Arabidopsis thaliana: one gene and its partner. The gene in region 1 interacts genetically with each later gene. Each region holds a gene or a part of one and is shown on either strand. Other genes may lie near its edges.

The links.
Region 2: of SKB1 (region 1) and SUS2, changing one suppresses a phenotype caused by changing the other (phenotypic suppression), as found in Arabidopsis thaliana (one study listed by BioGRID).

What each region holds. Positions count from the first base shown.
Region 1 is NC_003075.7:15,130,630-15,138,657, forward strand, and holds SKB1 (SHK1 binding protein 1), read right to left. Parts: upstream 6,068-8,028; 5' UTR 5,940-6,067; coding exon 5,799-5,939; intron 5,687-5,798; coding exon 5,569-5,686; intron 5,478-5,568; coding exon 5,368-5,477; intron 5,284-5,367; coding exon 5,194-5,283; intron 5,060-5,193; coding exon 4,994-5,059; intron 4,781-4,993; coding exon 4,701-4,780; intron 4,609-4,700; coding exon 4,533-4,608; intron 4,447-4,532; coding exon 4,360-4,446; intron 4,244-4,359; coding exon 4,183-4,243; intron 4,032-4,182; coding exon 3,940-4,031; intron 3,829-3,939; coding exon 3,793-3,828; intron 3,672-3,792; coding exon 3,603-3,671; intron 3,406-3,602; coding exon 3,337-3,405; intron 3,229-3,336; coding exon 3,175-3,228; intron 3,096-3,174; coding exon 3,021-3,095; intron 2,910-3,020; coding exon 2,817-2,909; intron 2,732-2,816; coding exon 2,628-2,731; intron 2,531-2,627; coding exon 2,482-2,530; intron 2,405-2,481; coding exon 2,318-2,404; intron 2,202-2,317; and 10 more. Other genes in the region: AT4G31115 (DUF1997 family protein, putative (DUF1997)), read left to right, coding at 1-23, 318-426, 519-564, 648-733, 955-1,013, 1,104-1,218; AT4G31130 (keratin-associated protein (DUF1218)), read right to left, coding at 6,530-6,812, 6,935-7,149, 7,747-7,836.
Region 2 is NC_003070.9:30,115,276-30,121,327, reverse strand, and holds the start of SUS2 (Pre-mRNA-processing-splicing factor), read right to left. Parts: upstream 3,482-6,052; 5' UTR 3,277-3,481; coding exon 2,993-3,276; intron 2,858-2,992; coding exon 2,734-2,857; intron 2,661-2,733; coding exon 2,568-2,660; intron 2,477-2,567; coding exon 2,086-2,476; intron 2,001-2,085; coding exon 1,520-2,000; intron 1,424-1,519; coding exon 633-1,423; intron 551-632; coding exon 282-550; intron 186-281; coding exon 1-185. Other genes in the region: AT1G80060 (Ubiquitin-like superfamily protein), read left to right, coding at 3,804-3,999, 4,246-4,345, 4,424-4,523, 4,617-4,699, 4,774-5,026. UniProt on the Arabidopsis thaliana protein: Functions as a scaffold that mediates the ordered assembly of spliceosomal proteins and snRNAs. Required for the assembly of the U4/U6-U5 tri-snRNP complex. Required for embryo development.

The sequences.
Region 1 (8,028 bases):
GATGATAGTGATGATACTTACAGGTTCTTTCTTTAACTCTCTCATATCAATTAATGTTCATAGGACACTGGAAGTTTCTCTCATACTTGTCTGGCATACATGGTCTTTGCATCTGTTTTGGGATCTTCATCGCTTTGATTGTTATATCTGCAAAGCATAAGTATCCGAAGAGTGTATCTCTAATCATAAACATAGATTCGTCTAATTGATATCCAGTCACAAGCTTGTCAGATGTTTTCTAATATGTTAGCATCATTATTTGGAAATATGCCTTCTATCTGGAAAGGGAGATAGTAAATCTTTGTCTTACAGTGCAGATGTACATTGCCAAAAGTTCAGTTAATGAGTTTTGAAGTTTATCCAGTACTGGTTTTAAGGGTCACTCCCACACAGGAAGATTGTACAGTTGAGCTGCTTTCCTGCAAGGTTGAATGATGAAGATTCCCGTTCTGATTTAGCAGATATATATTCTATTGTTTTCCTTTTACCGACAAATGTTTTGAACCACTGTCTTGCAGTTGGAAGGATCAGAGTTATTGGAGAACCAAAGTGAAAGGTTTTCAGGTAACTTTCCTCTTGTGAAGAAAAGCACTTGGTATCTAATGTTTCAAAAGTAATACAAGTGTTTTCCCATTTCTGGTTCACAGCAATAATGACAAACTGCATGACTTGGAACATGGAACATCCAGAGCCATTTTTGGAAGTTGACGTGAGATTGAATGTCACTCTAGAGGTAGTGTATTGCAGTTCAGTTTCTTTCATTCCTTCATAACTTCATTCTCGTGCAATCCTATTAGCCTTAAGAGTATCAAATACTGCACTGTACCGTGATGGTTGTCTGTGATCCATCATTGTGTGGATAGGTCATGTCGACTTATGATTCTCATTTCGGTTTTGTGTATATGAAAAAGCTTTGTTTCCTATGTTCATCAAAATCCCCCTTGTTCATGGCAGATCTCAACGCGACCGTTCACAATGCTTCCAGTATCAGCTGTTGAGGCTCCTGGGAATCTGTAAGTGTACATTATTGTTCGTTTTACATTTCTTCTGCTTCTTGGCTCGAAGTGCCCGAGTAATGTTATATTTTGATACGATGATTGCAGAGTAATGCAGACACTGGTCGATACACTGGTTCCCCTTCTGCTTCAGCAATTACTTAAAGATTACGACGAATGGATTAAAAAACAGCAACGGAACTCCTTAAACGCAACTTCTTAATCTATTACCAATGTTTTGTCAAACGGCCGAGGCAGGATTTGTTGGGTCGTTTTGGCCGTTTGAGATTACAGCGTGTATTAGAGATAGCTCTGAATTACTGCAAAAAGTACAAACAATTAAATGAACAAAATAGATTTGATTCACTTGTATACTTTGGCCTTTTGAGATGAAAGAGATAGCTTTGTATTAAAAGTGCAATGAAATTACTGAAAAAGTACAAACATAAATAAGGTCAAGAGAGATTTGATTCACTCGTAAACTTTAGTCTTTCTTGTGACAAAAATACAGCACAATAAGATTACATAACTTTTTCGTCATCAGTCAAAAGTCTCTAATCCTAAAGGCCAACCCAGTACGAACGGCCATTGGTGTTATGCATCGGAGATGGAGTAGGTGAAGACACCGACCATTCATACCAAACCTGAACCCGAAAATCAGAGGATCAATAATAGTTCTTTAGACAAAGAGTTAGTTGTATGGAATCTTGTGGTTTCAACTTTTTTTACCTTTGAGGAACCACAACACCTCCAAAAGTGTACTTCTAATGGAGTATCAGGGTGAACCTCCACAGGCTTCCTCAATGGGAAAAAGATTGGGAACCTGCCAAAAGGAACACGATTTTCTCTCGGTTGAAGTAAGAGGTTCGATAGAAGAAAGCTCTGTTTTAAAACATTTATAGACATTAATCCATTACCAGCTGAACATGTTTGGTGTTGCTGTTGTAGGCTCGATCCCAAGATGAACATCTTTATAAAGGACGGAATCAAAATAGCCAGCGAATCCTATTATGATCGCAGTAGATTCAGTTTCAGATTACGGAAATGGAGATGTAAAATTGACATTAACAAACAAAAAAGGGCTAGAAAAAAGCAGGTACCATGCACCAAAGCTGAGCCAGCATCGCTTGGTAGACTGAACTGAAGCTTCTTATAGCGTTGGTTGTTGACTTTCGTTGAGAAGTTTGGATGAGTAAATGTGAAAACCTATTTAAGACCAAACCAAAAATCCTGAGATGGTCAGATCGACAAGACTTGCATAAATGTATTTAAAGAGAACACTTTAAGCTATTAGAAAATGCTGGAGACAGAGAGAGACTCACAGACTGGGAAGGAGCAAGCTTTGCTACACTATGCAGCTTGACAACATAAGCAGTTTCAAAGTGCGCAAGATCTTTATGAGCCTTAACCTGCCAAATGGATGAAAAAGAACTTGAGTTAATCTGAAAACTCTTGCGAGTACATAGCAAAAAGCAGAAGAACCTACGTCATTGTAAAGCTTCGAAGCTGTTATAGGCTGTATGAAACTTGTATACCTGAAAAAGTAATAACGATGTTCCTCCTCCAGTTAGAGAAACAAAAGGACAGATGAGTTTCTTATGAAATTTCAACTAAGCGAAGGAGTACACATACGAGGATGGTATTGAAATTCCGTCTGGCTTCAGAAACCTTTGGGCTCCATCAAGACACTCAGGAGAAAGTTCATTGTCTCCAAAAGAACCCAGCAGTTCGCTAACCTGCATAGAAGAGGCAAACGAGAATTAGATGAACTGTATATAATGTCAGCATGAGTATTAGCTACAAAAATCTGTACATACTGACCAATATATCAGCTTGCTCGGGAGCATTCCAAAAACGCATGTCACAGGATATTATCGTAACAACGTCTTCCCATCCTTCCATCTTAACCAAATTCTATCAGAAAAAATAACAATGCTCTGAGTTAATTAGAAACCACACTGCACGTCCGAATGAAATCACAGGAAAATTAGCAATTTTTTAATCGACTCAGTGCTGACAACTCACATGGAGTGTTACAACGGCATTAGGATTCTTTTCCACGGCATAAACTTTCAACTTCCGATCAGTTTCTTCAGCTGCCTGGTAAAGGAAACAATGAACACATTTGATTAATGAAACAAATGAATTTTCAATGTCTCCTTGTGCATCAGGACTTTACCTGTAACGATGCCCTCACAAGGGGTCCCCTTCCTGCCCCCACAACCATCAGGACCTAAAAACTAAAATTTCAGTCCTACTGAAGTATTTCATATGAATAGCAGAAAAAAAACTTATAAATGAAAATGCCACTTTGTAAGCAAAACATTGACATATGACATACAGTAGTCAACTCGGATGCTTTTTCATCAGGTACCCTGTCCACCAAGGCTTTCTCAACTGCTCTTTGATACTAACAACACAAAGATGGACGAAAGTTAAGCATGCTTTAAAAAAAAACCAGGCTATGATATTAAATTGTTCAACATGATTCATCCATCAGTCCACTCTCCTCTGCAAACCGAAGCAGAAATAGACGAGGGGAAATCTAGAAACCAAAGGAGTTAAAATTTAAGATGTGAGGGGAAAAAACTAGAATATGCAACATACTTGGATGTATTTAACAGAGTCTCTCTCAAACGTCTCATAGGTTTGGGCTTCGAGGTTGTCCATAAGAGGCTGTATTCATTAAAAAAAAAACAGTAGAGGCTCTTTACAGTAAGAATAGAGCATTTTCATACAGGGTAAATTATCATGATGAACGGACAGAAATCAGAATTGCTTATGAAAAGAGGCTAACCTGCAGGGGTGCCTGCAAAAAATCCCTGTAACCCAGCTGTACAAAGAGTAAGATTTAGATAACTGTCAGAATAGAGTTGTATCTGCCAGCTTGCATCTAGTGATAAAAAACATAGAAGGACTGAGGCAAAAGGATGCAAAAAACGACCTCGATGCGTTCCTGTTCAGAAAGTGATTCCATCTTTTGGAACAGATAAGCAACATAGTCCAAATATATGCGCAGAGGATTCTTCTCTGTACCTGACAAACAATGCCCGTAATAAAATATTTAGCTCAAAACTTGGAATCAACTATGATTATAACAATGCCCGTGATAAATTGAGCTACGGAAAACAAGCCCAGAGGATAATAGCTAATTTTCAGAGGACAAAAGATTATACAGAAAAATTACCCTCCGAGCTAGAATCAAGAGGCTTTTGAAGATTATGAACAGGCTTTCCACAAATTACAACCTGCATTTACAAGATTGATGATAATGAGCACCAGATCGAGTCTAATAGATCTCTTTTGTGAGTCAAAAGAAGATTTTAATTTATTTCTATATCACAAAGAGTGGGATGTTTGTTACCTGGGCAGCATGATCAAAAAATCCTGCTATTAACTTTTGGTGGCGTTTGGACAAGCAAGGATAACCCCGAGCATTTGTTAAGAAAGCCTGCAACGCCAAATTAGAGGCATTTTGTGATTCGCAATACTTCAAAGTGGAGTTTATAATAATGCGGCAAGAAGTCAGGCACTTACATCAGTGCTTAATATGGCTGCTCTCACAGACTCTCCCATCCAGCGCCCTAGTGAAGTTTCAGAGGGTAGTGTACTCCTATATGAAGAAAATGGTGTTATGTTAGTAGAGTGGAAAAAAAACTTTGGGTCCACATTAACAACAATAATCAAGAGTTTCTCTCAACTCACAGAACATCAAGAGCAACAGACAGCTTACTGTCATGCTCACAAAGAAGACGAAACGAATTCCACAGCTCCCAGGAATCATTCTGCATAGAAGAGAGTATATATTAAAGTAATCCTCACACAAAGTGTACAAAAACGTGAACAGATAGGGACATTTATTTGTATTTCTAGGTTTAAAAGGCAGCCACATCAAGTGATTCCAAGGGATCCGCATTAGAGAGTCCCTTAAAAATCTGAGAAGGCACAAAAAGTACTAACAATCTTAAGTTTGCATAAAATTTGATCCAATGTCTTACCAGTCCCTCTGAGGTATCATCCATTGAATCACCTTCAGACTTCACCAGTGGAACCCTTAGCCATAACTTCAGCGCAGAAATGACATTTAAACAAAACAAAGAAGATCCACAAAATGTTAGAGCTTGATTGAAGGTGATCTTGTAAAGAAAAGTCTCATCTGAAATAAAGCTAGACCGGCAGCAAGAAACTCGTAAACCACCTGCAAGGTAGTGAGGCCTTGTAAGATCTGGTTCACACATCTGGCATAATTGGCGCACGATTTCCCTTTAGGAGTGGGAAGAAGGCATGCCTGCAACAAAAGAATTTCTCTTCAAAATCACTTTGCAGGCAAGAAAACAAAGAGAGTGAGTTAAATCCATAGATGCACAAGCACCTGTAAGGAGAGATGAGTAGCCCAAGCTATTTCTTGCTTCAATGTGGTTTCTGAATCCATCCGTAAGACCTCATCTTCAGAATCCAAGTCAATCCACGAACTAATTTTTCCTAGAGAATGAAGATTTACCACTCAAATCAAAACCCATCATATTCATAACGAGTACAAAATCACACGGTGGAGAAGCAAATAGAATCATACCAACAACATGACTGCTCCATTGAGAAGGTGACAAGACTAAGTCAGAGCCACAGACTGGAAGAACCTGAGTATCTACACCATTTCCTTCCACCAAGCTCGGCCTATACGAAGGATCCACCTGCAGGAAGAGAAAGAAGTAAACTCCGTCAAAGATATAAAATTTCAAATCCCAATTGATACAGTAACAACAGGCAAGGACGTGAGAGTCGAGGAAGAAGAAGGAAACAAACCAGAGGAGCGAGAACATAGTCAAAACCGCCGGTGGAAATGTTGAAGTTGAGAAGATGAGTAACATCGTTGGAGAAATCAGTCTCAACGCCGCAGTATCTGGACTCGGTCCTCTCCCATCCTCCTCTCTCTCCGAGCGGCATCTCTTCTTCTCTCTCTATTGAGCTCACAGGGAGTGAAGGAATTTGCAGATGGAAGTGAATCTTCTTTTCTCGAGCGGACGACGAAAACGAAAGGGTTTTTGACAGGGTTTAATTTTACTGATCTGTAGTTTATATCGGGCTTTTCTAATGGGCTTTATGATATGCTATACCTAGCCCATTTATGCCATCCCAAGCTCCAACCATTGGCTCTAAACATGTTAATTGGTTTTGACATAAAAGAGTCTTATGGTTTGTGATAGTAGTACTAGACTACTAGTAGCCACCCGAATTCAAGTGAATATTTACATATTCTTAGAAAGAAAAATGTTGATATAGTGTGTGATTTGAAGTGCTTTCTCATATCAATTATGTCAAATGTAAGAGATATAACCAAAAGATTATTTTTCACAGATACAGCTTATGAATCACAATGCATCAAGGTGCAGAGATGGGTTTCATAACATTCTAGCCAATCATTAAAAAAAAAAAAAACAACAGAAGAAACAAATTATTATTTTCCTAATCAAACAAGTAGAAAACAAATGAAAAACCCTTCTTATACCCAATACCAATAAAAGCATATCATTCTCTCAAGCATCAATCTTGAGATTCACATCCCTGGAGGAAGAGTTCCCATCGATGCTTCTGCTTTCAACTTCATCAAAATGGTCTTCACGGGCGTTATCAGCGAGCATCAGAGCAACCAACCAGAAAAGGCACGAGTCCAAAGACACAAAGGCACCTCCACCAAGCAGACCGGTCTTAGCCGTGGGGCAACTGGTTTCTAAGTTTCGGTGAACATTACGGGTCAAGTGAAGTTGTTCTGTAATGGTTGGCCAGAGCAACAGAGACAAGGCCAGTCCAGATGTTATCCTACACGACAATAACCATAGGTCACAAAAAGACTCCTATTTTTAGGCTTTATAATACCGGAATCCAAGAATATTTGTAATGGTCTAGCTACTGTGTTCTTGAAAAGAAGAGGAAATGCTTACAAGGCAATGTTGAAGAACACAGAGAAGCTGGTGCTTTTGAACAAGACAGAGTTAGGAACAGACTTTCCCTTGTAAGAGATGAACAAGGATTTGTATCCTGCTACAGTGCAGGCAAGGAGAAAAGCAGCAGAAAGGTATCCCAAGGCAACAGTTGGATCAGATGGGTATTTGCAGATAACTACTCCTTTTCCACTTATTGGAGTCCCAGACGCAGGCTAAGATGAAAACACAAAGAACAGAAACAAATCACACAATCAGTAACACATAAGAATAAGAAAGCCGAAGTGGTTTACCCACTTATGAAAAGCTCTTGACATACGGTATCCTAGAGAGATCAGTGACAATGATGAGGTCAAACAATTGTGTAGAAAGAGTAAGATTTAGCTACGGGTCAGTTAAGATCACATTGGTTTCCCATCATTAGATACAATTATGAAGCTGTGAGAAGATCACATTTTTTCATACAATCCAACAATATCACAATATCAGAGTCATAGTCCTGTGACTAAAACAAATTTGACATCCTCCATTCACAGAGAATAGCACAAATAACAACCAAAGCATCCTAAAGAAACAGGAAATCAAAACAATTGATTCATCCATAGTTAGATCACTGTTTGATACATACAATTCCAGAGTGATTATTTCCTGTGCAAAAAAAAAACTAACTTGCGCCAAAAAGCAACAGGAATTGTTTATGTGGTAGTAGTAGATAAACACAAAGAAGAAGAACAAAAATCATCATCGAAAACAAACAGGAAATTTAAAGTTTTCTCACGAAATAATCAAAAGGAGACGACTTTTTTTTGTACCTTCTTGTTCTCGGCGATAACTCCCAAAACAAAGGATAAGACGCCCAAAGCAGAGACGACCAACGACATTTGTTTCATACTAACCGCCATATTTGTTGTATCTTCTTCTCCGTCTAACCTTAACCTATATAATATATCCGAGAGCACACAGATATCAAATTCGATTTCCCCCAAAACATAAATCAGATTTGAAAATCGAATCAACGAACAGAGTCGGAAAAATCGAACTGTAAAAGAAAAACACTCACCGAGACGACGAATGAATCTGGAGATTTGTGGCTT
Region 2 (6,052 bases), on another chromosome or scaffold:
TATGATTCCTTCAGTCTCTCAAGGGCAAGGATGAGCAACTTTGTGTCATGTTTGTATGACAATGGAGGGAATGGAATTGGTGAGAACTTCCTTGATTCCAGCCAATGAACAGTAGTTGTATAAATTGCAAGTGCTTCTTCTGGAGTGACATACGGACCATCTTTCAGGTAATTGTGCTGTCGTTCCTGTAACAGTTTTACAAGGATAACGCATCAATATATAACGCAGTTTCATAAAATGTTCAAACAAAAATGACAAAGTCATTAAGACAATGAACAGACCTGTTCTGCCTTTAGCCAAAGACGAGTCAACCTTCCGAGATTCTTTCTACAAACTGTCTTATCAACAGTAGCCCCTCTTCGGATACGCTCACGATTGTAGTGAGCAACATTCGTCCACCAATCAGCCTTAGACTTGACATAACGCAGGATCATATTTTCAATCGGCACAGGTAACCCAGGGACCTTCCATGGGATATTAGCTTTCCAGCACCGCCATGCCTCACTAAGGTGCTGCAATATAGTCCGCGCTTTATTTTGCTTGATACCCTCTGCACATTATCAGAAAATGTTAACCAAAGAATAAAGCAAAGCAATTTCATCGTTGATAAACAAGTTTGTAAAAATGGAAACCTGGCATAGCATCAAGGACGTCATGCATGACAGCAGCCCGAAGCTCCAGATCAAAATGGCTTTCAACTCTCTGCTTTGTGACTGTTTTGGCCACTCCTTTTGAATGACGCCCCTCAAATTGACGAGCAAGAAGATTCCCTAACCATCTTTCAAGAAGAGGAACTATACCCCGAAGGAAAAACAACCATACCCTCCACATTGGAGCCCAAAATCCACACCCTGGACCCTTACCCACCGGACCAGTATTGAAACGGTAATATATCAAGTGCTTTAAATCCTTGCACATCCGAATCTGCCTCATCAGTCTGTATTTATAACGATACATACCCGTCAACTGGCCAACATGAGAGAAAATATACTGCAGACCATCAGCCAATTGGAAGGCATCGACATTACCAAGTCGGAATTGGACATTTGCATCAACTACAAGTTTTGTCAGGCGGAGGATCTCACGGCACAGATGGAAAGCGTTCCCAAAACGTGACTTCTTTCGCTCTTTGGTGGTCAAAGTTTTCACAGGCTTGAGGTTGAAGTTGTAGTCAAGATGCAGGTAGTTTAAATTCTTCCTATGAATCAGCAGATTCAGCATATTATATCCCTGCCGACAGACTTGCAGACCCACTTCAACCCAATCCAGTTCGGTACTTTGGAAAAACTTTGTAGCTGCAAGAGATCGAAACAAGTGCTTCTTCTTCTGAGCTTTAGGCGGTCTATGGTGCAACTCATTCAGCACATAGCACTTCAATAGCTTTTGGTAACTAACCCGAACTTTAACCGGATAGGCTGGAGGACTGCAGTTAATGAGTTCACAATATGTATTAGGACGGTCACCAGTAAATTTCAAAACGGTAAAGAGGACCAAAGTAGAATAAAAACAAATAGCTTACCAGTGCTCTTTGAACCACTCTGACACCAAGGGAATATCTTCTGCGCGGCGCGTCCTCCCAGACCTCATATTGAAAGGTCGTGGGGCAAACAACAATGATATGCCAGCAGCTGTAGTGTCAGTGTAGAGTTGGGTATCTCTTAGCAAAGGTTCCACACCTTCTGGTAAGGCGAAGTCATCCTCATCATCATAAACCTTCCTTTCACGTTTTTCCTTGTTGGTGTTGCTTATTGGGTGAATCAACGGATCATAATAAAATGCAGGAAGATCGGGATCCTCGGTCTTTATATACATGATCATAGGACTGTGATACACACAGAGTTTTACTTTCCTGGGCCGATTATTGTAGAGATGGGGAAAAGCTATTCTGTACTCAGTACGCAGAGGGGAACGAATAATGAGCTTGTTGATGTCATTAAACTCATTCCAGTCCTCATCCCCTTTCTCCATATCACGGTACAAAGGTTCAAACTTGGGTCCACCTGGAAAAGAGTAGGAGAATGCATTAAAAGCAATGGACCCGCAGCAAAAATATAAAAACTGGAGCATAGAAGGAAAATGGCGTACCAGGTATGCACATGTTCAGAGCTTTTGCTGTGAAGAAAGATGGCATGTCAAATAAGTAGAAGTAGTTGCGATCAATCAAATCAGACAGCAACTGGCCTGCAAGCCTGTGAAGGGTTGCCATGATTGGAAGTGAGAGGTTCCACCTCCGGTAACTGGGACCATTAATCAGTTTTGTTTTAACGAGTGGCTTGTGGTCGTAAAACCAAGTGTGGACAGCAGAATCTTCTTCCTCATCTAGCTCCAATTGAATTGGCTCCAGAGGATCCACGTCCAGCAAGTTGTCTGCATAGTCTAGTGGAGGCTCCTCATCATCAAAAGGTGGGAACCGCATTCTCTTGAAATGACGACGATCCCTCTTCTCCCTTCGCATCATAATCCACATAGTACCCCACTGCAAAACAAGAATGGAATAACCATCAAAAGCTATTGAAAATCCATCAGCGCACAGAGACAGTAAATAAGAGATAAGACTAATCACCAACCTGAGCCATGTAAATAGGTTCCACAACCCATGGTATCTCGTTCACAAATGTAATAGCTCCGGTGATGTGGTACAAAACTTTTACATCTCGGACCTGAAAGAAAATGAGGATTTAGATAAATGAACAGACGATGAAAACAGCTGAAGCTAAAGGAAAAAAAATGTACCTGCTCCCAGGGCATAGGCATGTTCTCCAAGAGCTTGAAAACTGCGTGAGGGACGAATTTAAGGGCTCCAAGGTATACACGTTTGTCGTGACGGAATTTCTTGGATGACATATCACCATGATCTCTGAAGTAAGAAAGAAATCGCAGCTTCAGTCTCAAAATAAGTAAATCCTAACCAAATCTTAGAAACCTAGCCAGAAAATAATTATCAAGTAAACTGTATTTCGAAATGGTAGAGAAAGAAGAGAAGAAAACTAGCCTGATGATCTTCCTGACGTGCTCAGGTGGCATGTCCTCCTTCTGAGTTTCAACGAATCCAAACTTCCTCTTGTCGCCGTACCGTTTGGAATTTAGCTGCATCCATTTTCGGGCCTTCTCCTCAAGCTTAGCCTCCGCTTCCTCAGGAGTAGGCTCGACCGGAGGAGTCGGATTAGAAGGCGGCGGAAGCGCCGTGTAAGAAGGATGAGCAGCGGGAGGTGGCGGCATCATGGACCCGCCAGTACCAGGAGGAGCTAAGGGCATACCATCGTTGTTGTTCCACATAGCTTAGGGTTCCAAATCGAAACGCCGAGCGTAGTCGCGGAGGAAAAAAACCCTAAATCCACCGCGCCAGTGTCGATCTCTAACTACGTTGCGAAGAACTAGTGAGCTTAATCGAGTAAAGAAAAACCCTAAAACATTTTCGGGTGAGTCGCTTCTTCCTTTTTTTTTTTTTTTATTCCCGTTCGGCCTTATATCAGCAGATCAGGAGGAGTAAGTAAAAAAAAAAAATAGGCGGTGTCGAACAGATGCTTAGGCGGTTATCCAAACCCGCTAAGTATTGTCGAATCAAGTTATTGGGCCTTTGATTATTAGATTTGGGCCGTGATGCCCATTGACAAACTTTAATTTGATTTTTTGTTTTGGCATTTATTGGGGAGCTATATAGCAGTAATTGCGGTTTTTCCCCGGAAAACAAACTCTCCCGATTCTCTCGCTCGCTCGCTCAGCTCCTCAACAGTCACCTGAAGGCTGAAGAAGAAGAGCAAAGAGAGCAGAATCTTGTCGGTGAAAATCCGGGAGAATCGGCAATGCGAGAAGAGCATAGTCCGGTTAGGGACGGTCGTCGAAGTGGAGGACTGAGGTCGTTGATAGATCCACGCTTCTTGTCATCGTTTGCTTTAAACGACGGTGGTTCGATTTCTGGACGGAGATCTTCCTACCTGAAACTTCCTCCTCAGGGTCGTATCAAGCTTTCCGTCGTTAAGCTCAACGGCTCCCTTTTCGGTACGATTTTGCTTATCCAGTTTCCGAAATAGCAATTTTAAGAGTTTAGTTTACAATCAAGCTCAACGGTTCCCTCAGTTGGTGATACCCTAATCGATCTCTAATCCGGAATTTTTTGTTGCTGTTAGAAATCATTGTTTAAGAGCCTTAATAGACATAATTTTGGATGAAGTATCAACTAGTTTTTTGGTTACTGTTTCTGATTTGGCCTCTCAAGAAGTTAAATGGTTTCCAACGAATCAATAGATGTGGAAGTTGCAAAGGATTGCTCAGTGGCAGAGCTCAAAAGAGCTGTGGAACAAGTATTCACCATTTCTCCTCTGGAAGGTCACGGCATGATTTCATGGTATATCATCATTTCATATGAAAATTCTCACAGCTTAAGCTTTCTGGTACAGTCGTTCACTTTGATCTTTGCCTACAGGTCTCACGTCTGGGGTCATTTTTGCTTGTGTTATCGAGACCAGAGATTAGTCAATGACAAGACTAGCATCCGTTATCTCGGTCTCAATGATGGAGACCAAGTTCGTTAAACTCCTTCTCACTTCTATATAAGAATCGTATGCACGCAATCTCATTCCTTTGAAAGTCTTAACATCCCTTTCACTCTATTTCAGTTACATTTCGTAAGGCATTTGTCGATAGACCACTCTCCTATGAACAAAAGATCCAAGAGCCCGAGTTGCAAGCGGTACCTCGAGTAAGTACTTTGTAACAATCTTCCTATATCGTCTCTGCATTTCAATGCTCTGCTAAAGAATCCTTGTATGGTAGGTTGGATGTGTCATCCATTGTCAACGAAATCCAAATACAAAACCAAAACCAGAACGGTGTGGATGATGTAGCTGAGAAGTGTTATCCAGGAGCACAAGACGAGTTACCGGCAGCAGAATCCAGACTAGTTAACTTAATTAAAGGATGGTTGCCATATGCTGGACGTTGGGGAGTTTCCAGAAAAGGACCCGAGTGTCGCAGTGGTCCCTCCAGATTTTCTTTGAAGCATTTCGGTGGCAGACCCAAGATGTAAATCCGTAAGTCACAACCTCTTCCTATGTCCCCTTTTTAATCTCTTCCAATGATTATTGGTTTATGAATTTGTTGTCCAGGATTGTATCAAAAGATCCATAGTTTTACAAATTTCATATCTATCTTCATGCATTGTGAAAGCTGAAGGAAGGTACATTTTTATTCGCATAAATTCAGCCTAGAACACAGTAGTAAGATCATCTGATTTGTGATAAAACAAGAATGGATTGAGTATTTGTGTTGATTTTGAATAATTTTGAAGTAATATGGCAAGGTAAACCTTATATAGGCTGAAAATGGTTAAACCCATACCAACCTACTGAGCCCAATAATTGGCCTCACCATTTTGCTGGTCAAACCTATGTTCCACCCGAGAATCTAAGAATGACACGCCCCACCACTAGCATATGCTCATCTTCTTGCCTCTGTTTTATTAAAAAGTAAAAACTGTCTATCGTTGTCATATTTGTCTGTGTGTATAAAGTTAACTTGTTGACAATCTGGATTCATAGGGTGCCATATGGTTCACATCTAATTTAATGTTTTCATTCGATTGAAACCTTCCTAGTAGTTTCAAGTTTGTTTCACCAATGAACCAGGATCTCATTGAATTAATGTTAGATGTAAGCTGGTCACCACTTTCTCAGGTTGTTTTGAGCTTGAGAATATTGTTTCCTTGTACATCTTGAGAAAGTGAAGAATCCGCTCTGAGAGATTTGTCTTTAGATAAACAATCGAATTTTGGCTCTTAATGATCGGATTAGTTCTTGGACGAGTGTAAGGGTTTTGTTCTTGTCTTCATAATAAACTTTTTGTTTTTTTGTTTTTTTGTTCTTTTGTATTTGCTTTCTTGGCTGGTAAAGTGAAAAAATGCAGAAACGGTGGAAGCAAGTGCAGAAGTAGACAGTGAGTGTCAATCTATAGCCAGGCTTGAAGACTTTCATTCTCGTCTATTCTGCATTCTGTGATCCACGAAGAGTATACCACTCAATAAAGTAAAGTAATCCCCAAGGCACAGCCACTGAGG